2 linked regions of the Coturnix japonica genome follow. The protein of the gene in region 1 purifies or fractionates together with the protein of each later gene. This does not show direct contact. Links are inferred from orthologs where the notes say so. Each region holds a gene or a part of one and is shown on either strand. Other genes may lie near its edges.

The links.
Region 2: the proteins of SNAP25 (region 1) and STX12 purify together in Homo sapiens (co-immunoprecipitation; 3 studies listed by BioGRID and IntAct, with this or other methods). This does not show direct contact. The link is inferred for Coturnix japonica from reciprocal best matches to the Homo sapiens genes SNAP25 and STX12.

What each region holds. Positions count from the first base shown.
Region 1 is NC_029518.1:11,889,091-11,893,651, forward strand, and holds the start of SNAP25 (synaptosomal-associated protein 25), read right to left. Parts: upstream 3,054-4,561; 5' UTR 2,893-3,053; intron 1-2,892.
Region 2 is NC_029538.1:1,331,295-1,335,582, reverse strand, and holds the start of STX12 (syntaxin-12), read right to left. Parts: upstream 3,066-4,288; 5' UTR 2,990-3,065; coding exon 2,878-2,989; intron 2,059-2,877; coding exon 1,989-2,058; intron 1,559-1,988; coding exon 1,459-1,558; intron 323-1,458; coding exon 185-322; intron 1-184. UniProt on the Homo sapiens protein: SNARE promoting fusion of transport vesicles with target membranes. Together with SNARE STX6, promotes movement of vesicles from endosomes to the cell membrane, and may therefore function in the endocytic recycling pathway.

The sequences.
Region 1 (4,561 bases):
GTAAAGGCTCAAAAATGATGAGCTAAAAGAAATAATCTATACTTTGACAGCTGATGTTCCTGACAAACTCTATCCAGCTCCCCCAGGAGTAGATATATGAACCCTAGTGCCTTTTCCAAAGCCCAACCTCCTAGAGGTAATTGTGATCTGCCTGAGACCTGCAGCCTGCTGCTGTTCTCAAACACATTTTTCTACTCTGCGTTAGATGCTCTAAAAAGCTTCAACAATTATACTGTTACAGACTACTTGGCACTCACCCAGCCCAAAGGTGACTGCATTTCTAGCAGTAGAGGAAACTTCAGATAAAGAAAAACATACTCACTTCAGTGAAGGCCATAAAGTGAGTTTACATTTGTTGTAGTTTTAAGTGACTTAAGCCCTAGAAGTCTGAAATAAATGTGCATGTGTTTTAATAATGAAAGTGCTGTGATTATACTCTAGTTATGAAAAATTGAGGAAAAAAATCAGGAAAAAATTAAATGAAATGAACAAGTATGGTAGTGTAACAAGCCAAGGTAAACCAAGTTCCTTTCTTCCTAGGGTTTTTTACATTCCTGAGAGAAGGAATTAAGAGACTGAGTTCTCCGTTCTGCTGTATGCTTGCCATTTTACCTCAAATTGTTGCAACATAGGCTTGTGACACAAAAGCCTAAAAATTGCTTAAGTTAATAATAAGACAGGAAAGCATGTTGATTAGTTACCTTGCTCGGTTATAGCAGAGCAGGAATTAGATATAGACTACACTTTATTTGCCTTAGCAGTTTAATCTCACTGTCTGTTGCCATGCCTAACCTGTACAGAGATGAATGAAAAGCTTTCTGATGACCTGAAATACAGCTTCCACCCCCAATGCAGTAAATCTGCAAACTGGAGCTGTGTTTCATTAGATGTACTTTAAGGGTTCTTTATTTTTCTGCCCTCATGAGTTCAGTGGACATAGAATCCGATATCTCACTATCATTTCCTAGCTAGCTGTATAAATATAGTTAAACTGCATTTACTTGGGGTTGCTGTTTAGCTGCATTTTGTTTCGTAACATGCTCGGTTATTTCCAGTCCTCCTGACTTCAGTGGGAGCCTCAAGCTCTCACTTTTGCAAATCAGGCCTGCTTGTACCTTTGCTTTGGTCACTTCTGCTGTCTCTTTGGCACTCATCCTAGGAATCAAAGTGACCTCCTTGCCATCCCCTTATGCACTATGCAGAAGCAATGGAAAACCACTGCCACTTTTTCCTAGACTGGTATCTTTGACCATGATTCAGTGACATGCAGGGATATGGGAGGAGGATTCTTCATCTGTATCCCCTGGAGCTCTCATCACCCAGATGGCCCCATTTCCTCCCCTGCAGCCCATAGAGGTGTCTGCCTCCAGACCAGCCTTGTCTTGTCATGGTCTATGGAGATCAGAGCTAGGATGGAGCAGGGAGGAGAGGGACAGGCATGTCCTTGTGGATGCGGCAGCTGGGGCTGACAGTAACCACGTATGGCTTGGTGGGTTGATCTGCCATCCCCAGGCTTCACCACAGACCAGCCTCTCCATCCCCACCTCCTCCCCCCCACCCCCTTTTCAGCTGGGAATGAAACCAGCAGCAATTACTCAAGCCAAGCACGTAAATCTGGCAGATCCCATGGCCCTCATTTGACGCAGCTACGCAGTGCAATGTCTGGACGCCCAACCCACTTCCCTCATCCCCTCTTGTTTATTTGCCCTGCAGAAAACAGCAAAGTTACCAACTTTGCCAGCAGTGAGCTGTACCAAGTGGAGAAGGAAAGCGGGGTGCCAGGGAGCAGGAAGGACAGGGGAAGAGGAACGCCAGGGACAGGGATGCCAGGGTCAGGAGTGCGAGGTGGGTTTGCCTGCATTGCATGAGGAGCTGAGCTGCCCCGACTCAAGGCTGCAGAATGCCCGGGGCCGACCCTCTGTGGTTGCGGGGATGCCCTAGGGGCTGCCGCTGGTCCGGAGAGACCCCGCGGACCAGGTGTTACATAACTCCCGTTTCCCTTGCACCAATGCCCTTCCACCAACCGGCCGGGTGGGAGACAGGCTGAAGAGCCGCTTAATTTCAAGAACCGAAGCTTGTAATTATTATTGTTTATTATTATTATTATTATTATTTCTCCCACTTTGCGCTTCGACTTGCCGAGAAACCCCGCAAAGCCCCAGCTGTTTCAGCCTGAGGTCCCGTCCCGGAAGGAGCTAGCAGCTCAGCTATGGGCTCGCTTCCCTTGCGGCAGGGCAGAGGCTGCCCGGGGCTGGCTGCCCGGGGGGGGTGCGGAGCCGCAGGGCGCTGCAGCGAACCCGCCTCCGCCTGCAGCGCGGCTCCAAGCCCGGGGCGCCGTGGCGCTGTCCGCGGTGCTGAAGACGGACGCTGTCCGCTGTGCTGACGGACGCTGTCCGCGGTGCTGAACCGCCTCCCGTTCCCGCAGAGCCGCAGTACTCCCTGCTGACCTCCCCCCCGGCCTCCGTCCGCGGTGCCGAAGCGCCGCCGCAGCCCTGCGCGGTGCGGTGCGGTGCGGGAAGGGCGCTGCAGTGCCCTGGGCGGCTGCAGCCCTGCGCGACCCAGCAGAGCAGAGAGCCCCGCAGCACCCTGCTCCCAGTACAGGTTAGAAATGCGCTGCTTGCCCTTCTCCTCGGGCTCCCTGCCGCCTTCGATCGTGCCCGATACAGCGGAAACACAGAGCTCGGTTCCCTCCCATGGTTCCAGCCGGCGATAAGGCTGGCGGCGGCATTACCCCCCCTCTCCTCGACTTCCTCCATCCCTGTAGCAGCCCAGAGACAGGAGACAAAACGCCGAGCGCGTCCCCCTTTAAACAAATCCTTTTTTCGCTTCATTTTCGTTCATACAGCCCCCTCCCCTTGCTCAGTCGGTGGCCCGGTGGTCTCCCGCCCTTACCTCGGCTTGTGCAGCGCTCCGCCGGGCCGCCTCGGCGGGGTTGGTGTCTCGGTGCCGCAGCTGGGAGGCAAGGACAGCCGCTGCTGACCTCCTCGGGTCTCCTTCTTCAATGGACCGAGAGCCGTGCCCTCATCAAAGATGGCCGTCCGCTCCTACGTCAGCAGCTTTTAATAGCCCTCCCCGGAGGGGGGGGGGGAATGGGGGAGGCGGGAGCGGGCGGGGGGCAGAGCGGGCCGGGCGGGCGGGCTTGAGTCATCACCGCCGCCGCCGCCTCCCGCTCCGATCTCCTCGCCCCGCCGACAAACGGCCCCGCCGGGCCTCCTCCGAGCCTGGGGGCCGGGGGCTGAACCGCCCGGGGAGGGGGGAAGGGGCCTCCTGCAGCAACATGCCTCCGCCAAAGGGGTGGTCCGAAGAGGGTATCCCTCTGAAGTCCCCGGTACTCCATATATGGCCAATCTACGTGGGCTTCTATTTTTATGTGTGAATTCTTCCTTCTCTCCCTCTTTTTATGTTTCAGAGCATCCTGCCACGGGTCTGAGTGTGTTAATCTGATTATTCCCCTTCTCCTCCCCCCTGAAATAAGAGCACACAAACGCAAGGAAATCCACAGATAAGGACATGTGCTATAACCGATCATTTGAGAGACAGGTTTAGAAAAGGGAGAGAGAAGGGGGGAAAAAAAAAGCCCTCACAAAAAACCCAGGCATGTACGTGCATACATACAGCACAGAGAGAACAGACCGCTGCTGCCAAGGAGGAAAGCAGTGACTCTGTTCTGGGAAAAAGCCTGGCTTATTTATCATGGATTAATTAAAATATTTATTCAGAGCTTACCTAATTTGGAGCAAATGGAGCTGTCTGTAGTGTGATATTTAATGGAGAGGAAATCCTCTCATTTGTTACAAAACATCTTTCTGTAAAAGGTATCTCTTAACGGAGATTTTAATGAAGGATGGGGATTGCATCTGAAATGCGACACTCTTTCATAACCTCAGTTATCCCTTCCCTTTCATTCCACAAGCCTGCGCACGTTCGTGTATGGAACCATCCAGACCTACCCATGAGCAGAGGTGCCTCCGTCTGAGCCTCTCTTGTGAGCAGTCACTGAGCACTGGCTATGCTTAACTCTGACACTGTGCTAATGGCTTTTCTAAATAGTCTGCAGATGACGGTGTCAAAACATCAGTCTCATATTAGTGATAATTCTACCCTAATCATTATGTCTTTTTTTCCCTTATTGCCATGGCAGGGAAGACCGGAAGAGGGGGAAGGCTCTGCAGCTGTATTTTGGAGCACGTTTGTCTCATGTTGTGGTTGTATGGGGGTGGAGGAGAGAAAGGGGAGGGGAGGTGCGGGGGGGGGGAAGGAGAAAGAACTGCGGTGATTCCTCCTCCCCTGCTCTGTAGTTCCCCATAGAAAAACGTGATTGTAGATCGTGCTTTGCAATTCTCACCCTCTCCTACGAAAATATGTCCTTCAGTCTCGTTTGGAAGGAAGCAGTCAAAAGTTTGCTAAATATACAACAAAGGAATTCTCAGGGAAGAGGGGCTTCCTGCTGCAGTAGAGTATCTGATGAGCTGTGCACACAAAAACCGCAGGGAAGGAGAGAACCTGTCAGACTTAAGGGCTGTAAAGGCAGACAAGTAGAGAGAGATCAACGCTGTGCAGA
Region 2 (4,288 bases), on another chromosome or scaffold:
TCATCAGCATATCAAGATGTGTGCCTACTAATTACAACATCTGGAACAGCAAAACAACCTACTGAGGCCTCATTTGTGATCAGTAATGCATCAGTAGACAACCATGAAGCCAGTGGGCAAAGACAAGATCTCCAAAATGATTTGTAGTCCACCATATCACAACAGAATGCCTACAAATACTTACAGAGATACGGGAGCCAGCTCTTGCCCTTGCTACAGTCTCTTTTTCCTTCTCTGACACTTGCCTCTGTACTGCCTGGAAATTATTTAAGGCTGCAGAGAAATCATTCATTAAACGTTCTTTCTGAAGCCTCTGTTGACGCTAAAGAAACAAAAACAAACGTTCAGATATTACCATTCGTGTTACTGTAACCATCAGACTCTCCAAAACATAAAATGAAAAGTAAATGCTAACATGTAAGTGATCTTCCCAGCATTCTGGGGTAGAAACAGGAGAAAAAAAAGCCCATCACACTTTCATGTTATACCAAATGCTCTATGCTCTACCTACTGTGGAACTGCCCTGTGCATGTTTCCCTGGCATGTCCCCTTTGAAGGTTGTGACATCCAGTACATGGGAAACAAGTAGCTGAGAAAAAGACTTGACCCAAGGACAGTCAGTACTACAGCTGATTCTTACAGTTGATTTTCCACTACAGAAATTCTTCAGCTTCACTCACTTACAGAAGTCACTGCCACATTCAGCAACATGGACTTTGCTTACCAGAGTGAGATTAACTGAAAAACACTTTCTGAACAAATACACGAAACACTGCCGTATTTACAACTGGTATTTAAACCTTTAGATAGAGAATTGGATCTACTAAGACAACATCTGCTGACCCATATCCACAGATCATCCCATAACAGTATCACAGGAGCAGGTAAATCAGTATTGTGGCAGTGATTTAAAGTGGAGACAGAAGACTCCAAAGGCAGAGGCCCATCCCTTCCCTTCCCCACAGGAAGGGATGCCCTGAAAGACTGTTTTGCCAGAGACAAAGTCACCTCAGCAGGTTTCTTTAAATGTGAGTAACCTGAGTCAGCTCCTTCCCTCCCCCACCTTCAGTTCAGGCCATAAATCCCGTGGAAGGAAAAGTTTTTTTGATGTAATTACAATTCATACTGACATTCAGCTTGCACTGAGTTTTTATCCTAAAACATGGTCTCGCATCACCAGATTGCTCTGTAAACAAGATTATTTTCTCAGAAATAGAACTACATACTCAGCTTTCCCCAAAGTTTTAGAGCTATCTGCTGCTGATAAATGATTCCCCCTCAGCATCATACAGTCAGGATGTAGCTGACTGAGTTCGTCTTCCCACTTCAACAACTGCTTTCATTGCAGAAAGCTGCTGTATCTTCAGCTGTGCCAGTTTAAGCTCCGTGAAATTGCACTCTAAGCCAGCTTATCAAGTAAGCAACTAAAGAAAGCTCTAGAAAATTCTACCTGCATACCTGTTCAGAAGCAGACAGAGGAAGTGGTAGAGATCCCAGTTCTTTGAGATACTCATTGGTCGCTTTGGCCAAGCTGTTTGCAGAGTGCTGTAGCTGTTGTCTAAAACAATAGTTCAGAAATAGTTACACAGGTTTCTTCCAAAAAGCAACCCAAGCATTTCAATCTTTGCAATAAAGACCAAGTAAGGTTTCTGAGCTCAAACATCTTTAAGAACTCAGATACTGAATTCCTGCAGATCCATGAAACTTCACAGAGAAGAATGATACAGATTCAGCTCTGGGAAATGCAAGGCCTTCCCCAGTCTTCCAGCTCTTATGTTTTCCAACAAGGTTGTGATTCAAAGCTGCTGGTGCAAAGGATCTACTGAAGCAACACTTCCATTAGCATCACAACACAGGAAGCCATTCACATACAATTAAGTTTATATTAAGTTTATGCAGTAAAGCATCTCTCCAAAGTAACTCCCTCCTTCTAAGAATAAAGGTGAAAATAAAAGAGCCTAAACAGTGTTTATCCAATTCATACTTACAAGTTTTCCTGCAGTTTGCTGGAGTCCTGCTTGGTTCCCAGCTGGCTCATCAAATTCTTTATCTGAGCAGCTGAAGACAAAGAGACCACAAGATTAATATGAGTTCTAGTGTATTTTATCCCTACTTTAAGCTAGAAAGCTTCTCCAGTGAAGGACCTCTCTCAACATTTTGCTTAACTCAAGCTGATAACACAACACTTAGACTCTGCATTTCAACATCCCCATTAAACTGTTAATATACCTGCAAGGTAACCACCCCTTCCCAGCCTCAGAAGGGAATGTCTGAACAGATGAGCCAGCTGACTCGCTGTATTCTGCAGCTTCACGCTCTTTAACGTCAGTAAGAGATGCTGGGAGCATCGTGTAGGACAAAAGTCCACCTGGTGGGCTCCTAGCAATTCTCCTGCTCCCTCAAGCAGCAAGGCAAGACCAAGAAGAACCACTTAACACTGTTCTAAAGGCAGCTGATTTTCCCCTATAGGGAAAGAGAAATAAGGAAGTGCTCAAGGCTTCAGTTTCTCTTCTCCTCAGGCCCTTTATCAAACACACAGTACAGTTAATGACTGTAATGGTAAGTCAGCTGCTCTGTGTGCTCCCACCCACCCTGACTGAAGCTGTAAGACACTTGTTTCACCTCCAATTGGCAGCACACCGGGAAAGGGCGGCTGCTGGGCATGAGACCCGGCCATAGCATCCTAAGAGGAGCTGAACTAATTAAAGGAGGAAGCGAAAAAGAGAGGAGGAGAGAAAGCTTTATGACATTCACTCCTCTCAGCAGCACAGATGCTGTTTCCCCAGCCATCCCTCCGCTGTCACAGGCAGCAATGGAGCCCCGCCTCACCCCGGGCCCTCAGCAGCTCCCACCGCGGCCCTGCCCGCCGCTACTCACTGTACTGAGCGATGCGCTGCACGTTGGCGCTGCATGTTTGTATGATTCCACTAAAATCCCTCGGCGGGGCCGTCGCTCCGGCCCGATATGGATCCAGCGGCCCGTACGACATGACCGGCTGAGTGACGGCTCCTCCGGGCCCGGCTGCCAGCACCCCGCCGCTCTCTGCGCATGCGCCACCGCTGCTGACCGAGCGCCCGCCCTAAAGCGAGGGGACGAGGCCTGCGCATGCGCGGTCGAGGCCTTTGGTTGCCATGATGACGGGAGCCCGCCTTAGAAAGGGATGGAGGCCGCATGAACCAGAACATGGGCCTAATCTGACCCAGCCCTGTCCTGCTGTCATTATAAACTCACCCCAGAGTGGGATTGCTACACACCAAAGTAAAATCTGCCCCCAAAAGTGGCACTGGGGTTGCCTCAGGGTGAGACTCCATTTGGTACTGAGGTGAAGTCTCGCACTGTCCCACACTTTCACCCACAGTTCTGCATCCTGCCCCCAAATTCAACATCTCCCAAATCCCAAATTTTCACCCTAAATTCCCCGTCACCCCATCAAGTCTGCGTTACCTTTAAATACAAGGTTCCCCAAATCCCCTTTTACTCAAATCCCACAGCTTCACCCCAAATCTAGCATTGCCTCAAATCCCTCCTTCCACCTCAGATCCCACAGCTTCAACTCAAGTCCCACATTGCTCTAAATCCTACAGCTTTACTGTATTGTAATGTACTGCATTACCCAAATCCCACGGCTTCGCCCCAAGTCTCACATTGCTCCAATCCTTCAGCTTTATCCCATATCCCCCAGTATCATCCCAAGTCAAGTCCTAAATCCCACAGCTCCACCTCAAGTACTGCATTGCTCAAATCCCCGTCTTGCTCTGAATCCTCCAGCTTTGCCCCGAGTCCCGTGTCACCCCATAACCCTGTTTCATCCCAAATCCCCCAGCTTTGACCCAACCCCCCTTTGCCACAAATCTCATGGTTTCACCACTGTTCCCCCAGTTCCATTCAACCCCCTATGGGATACTGCAGCTTCTCCTGCCCCTGCTGGTCAATGATGCCCAGGCTTTGTTACACCAGGTGCTGGAGAGCAGCAGTGCCAGCATGAAGATCCAGGCATTTTTGTGGCTGTTGCCATCAGAATTGCACCAGAATGCCCCCCACAGGTTCCCAAAATGGACAGGGAGCCCTGGTTGAGGCTGGCCAGGTGGTTCATCAGGAAGGATTTGCCGCTGTGATAAGGCTCCTAATGGCCACCACCACCAGGGGCTGGACCACCTCCTGTAGTGCTGTGGGGTAGAAACAAACACCCCACACTTTATCATGTGCCCTTCTGTATGATGTCCTATGGTATGGAACATCCCTTTGGCCAGCTTGGGTCCCTGGGTGGAAAGTGCCACAAGGTGGTGCC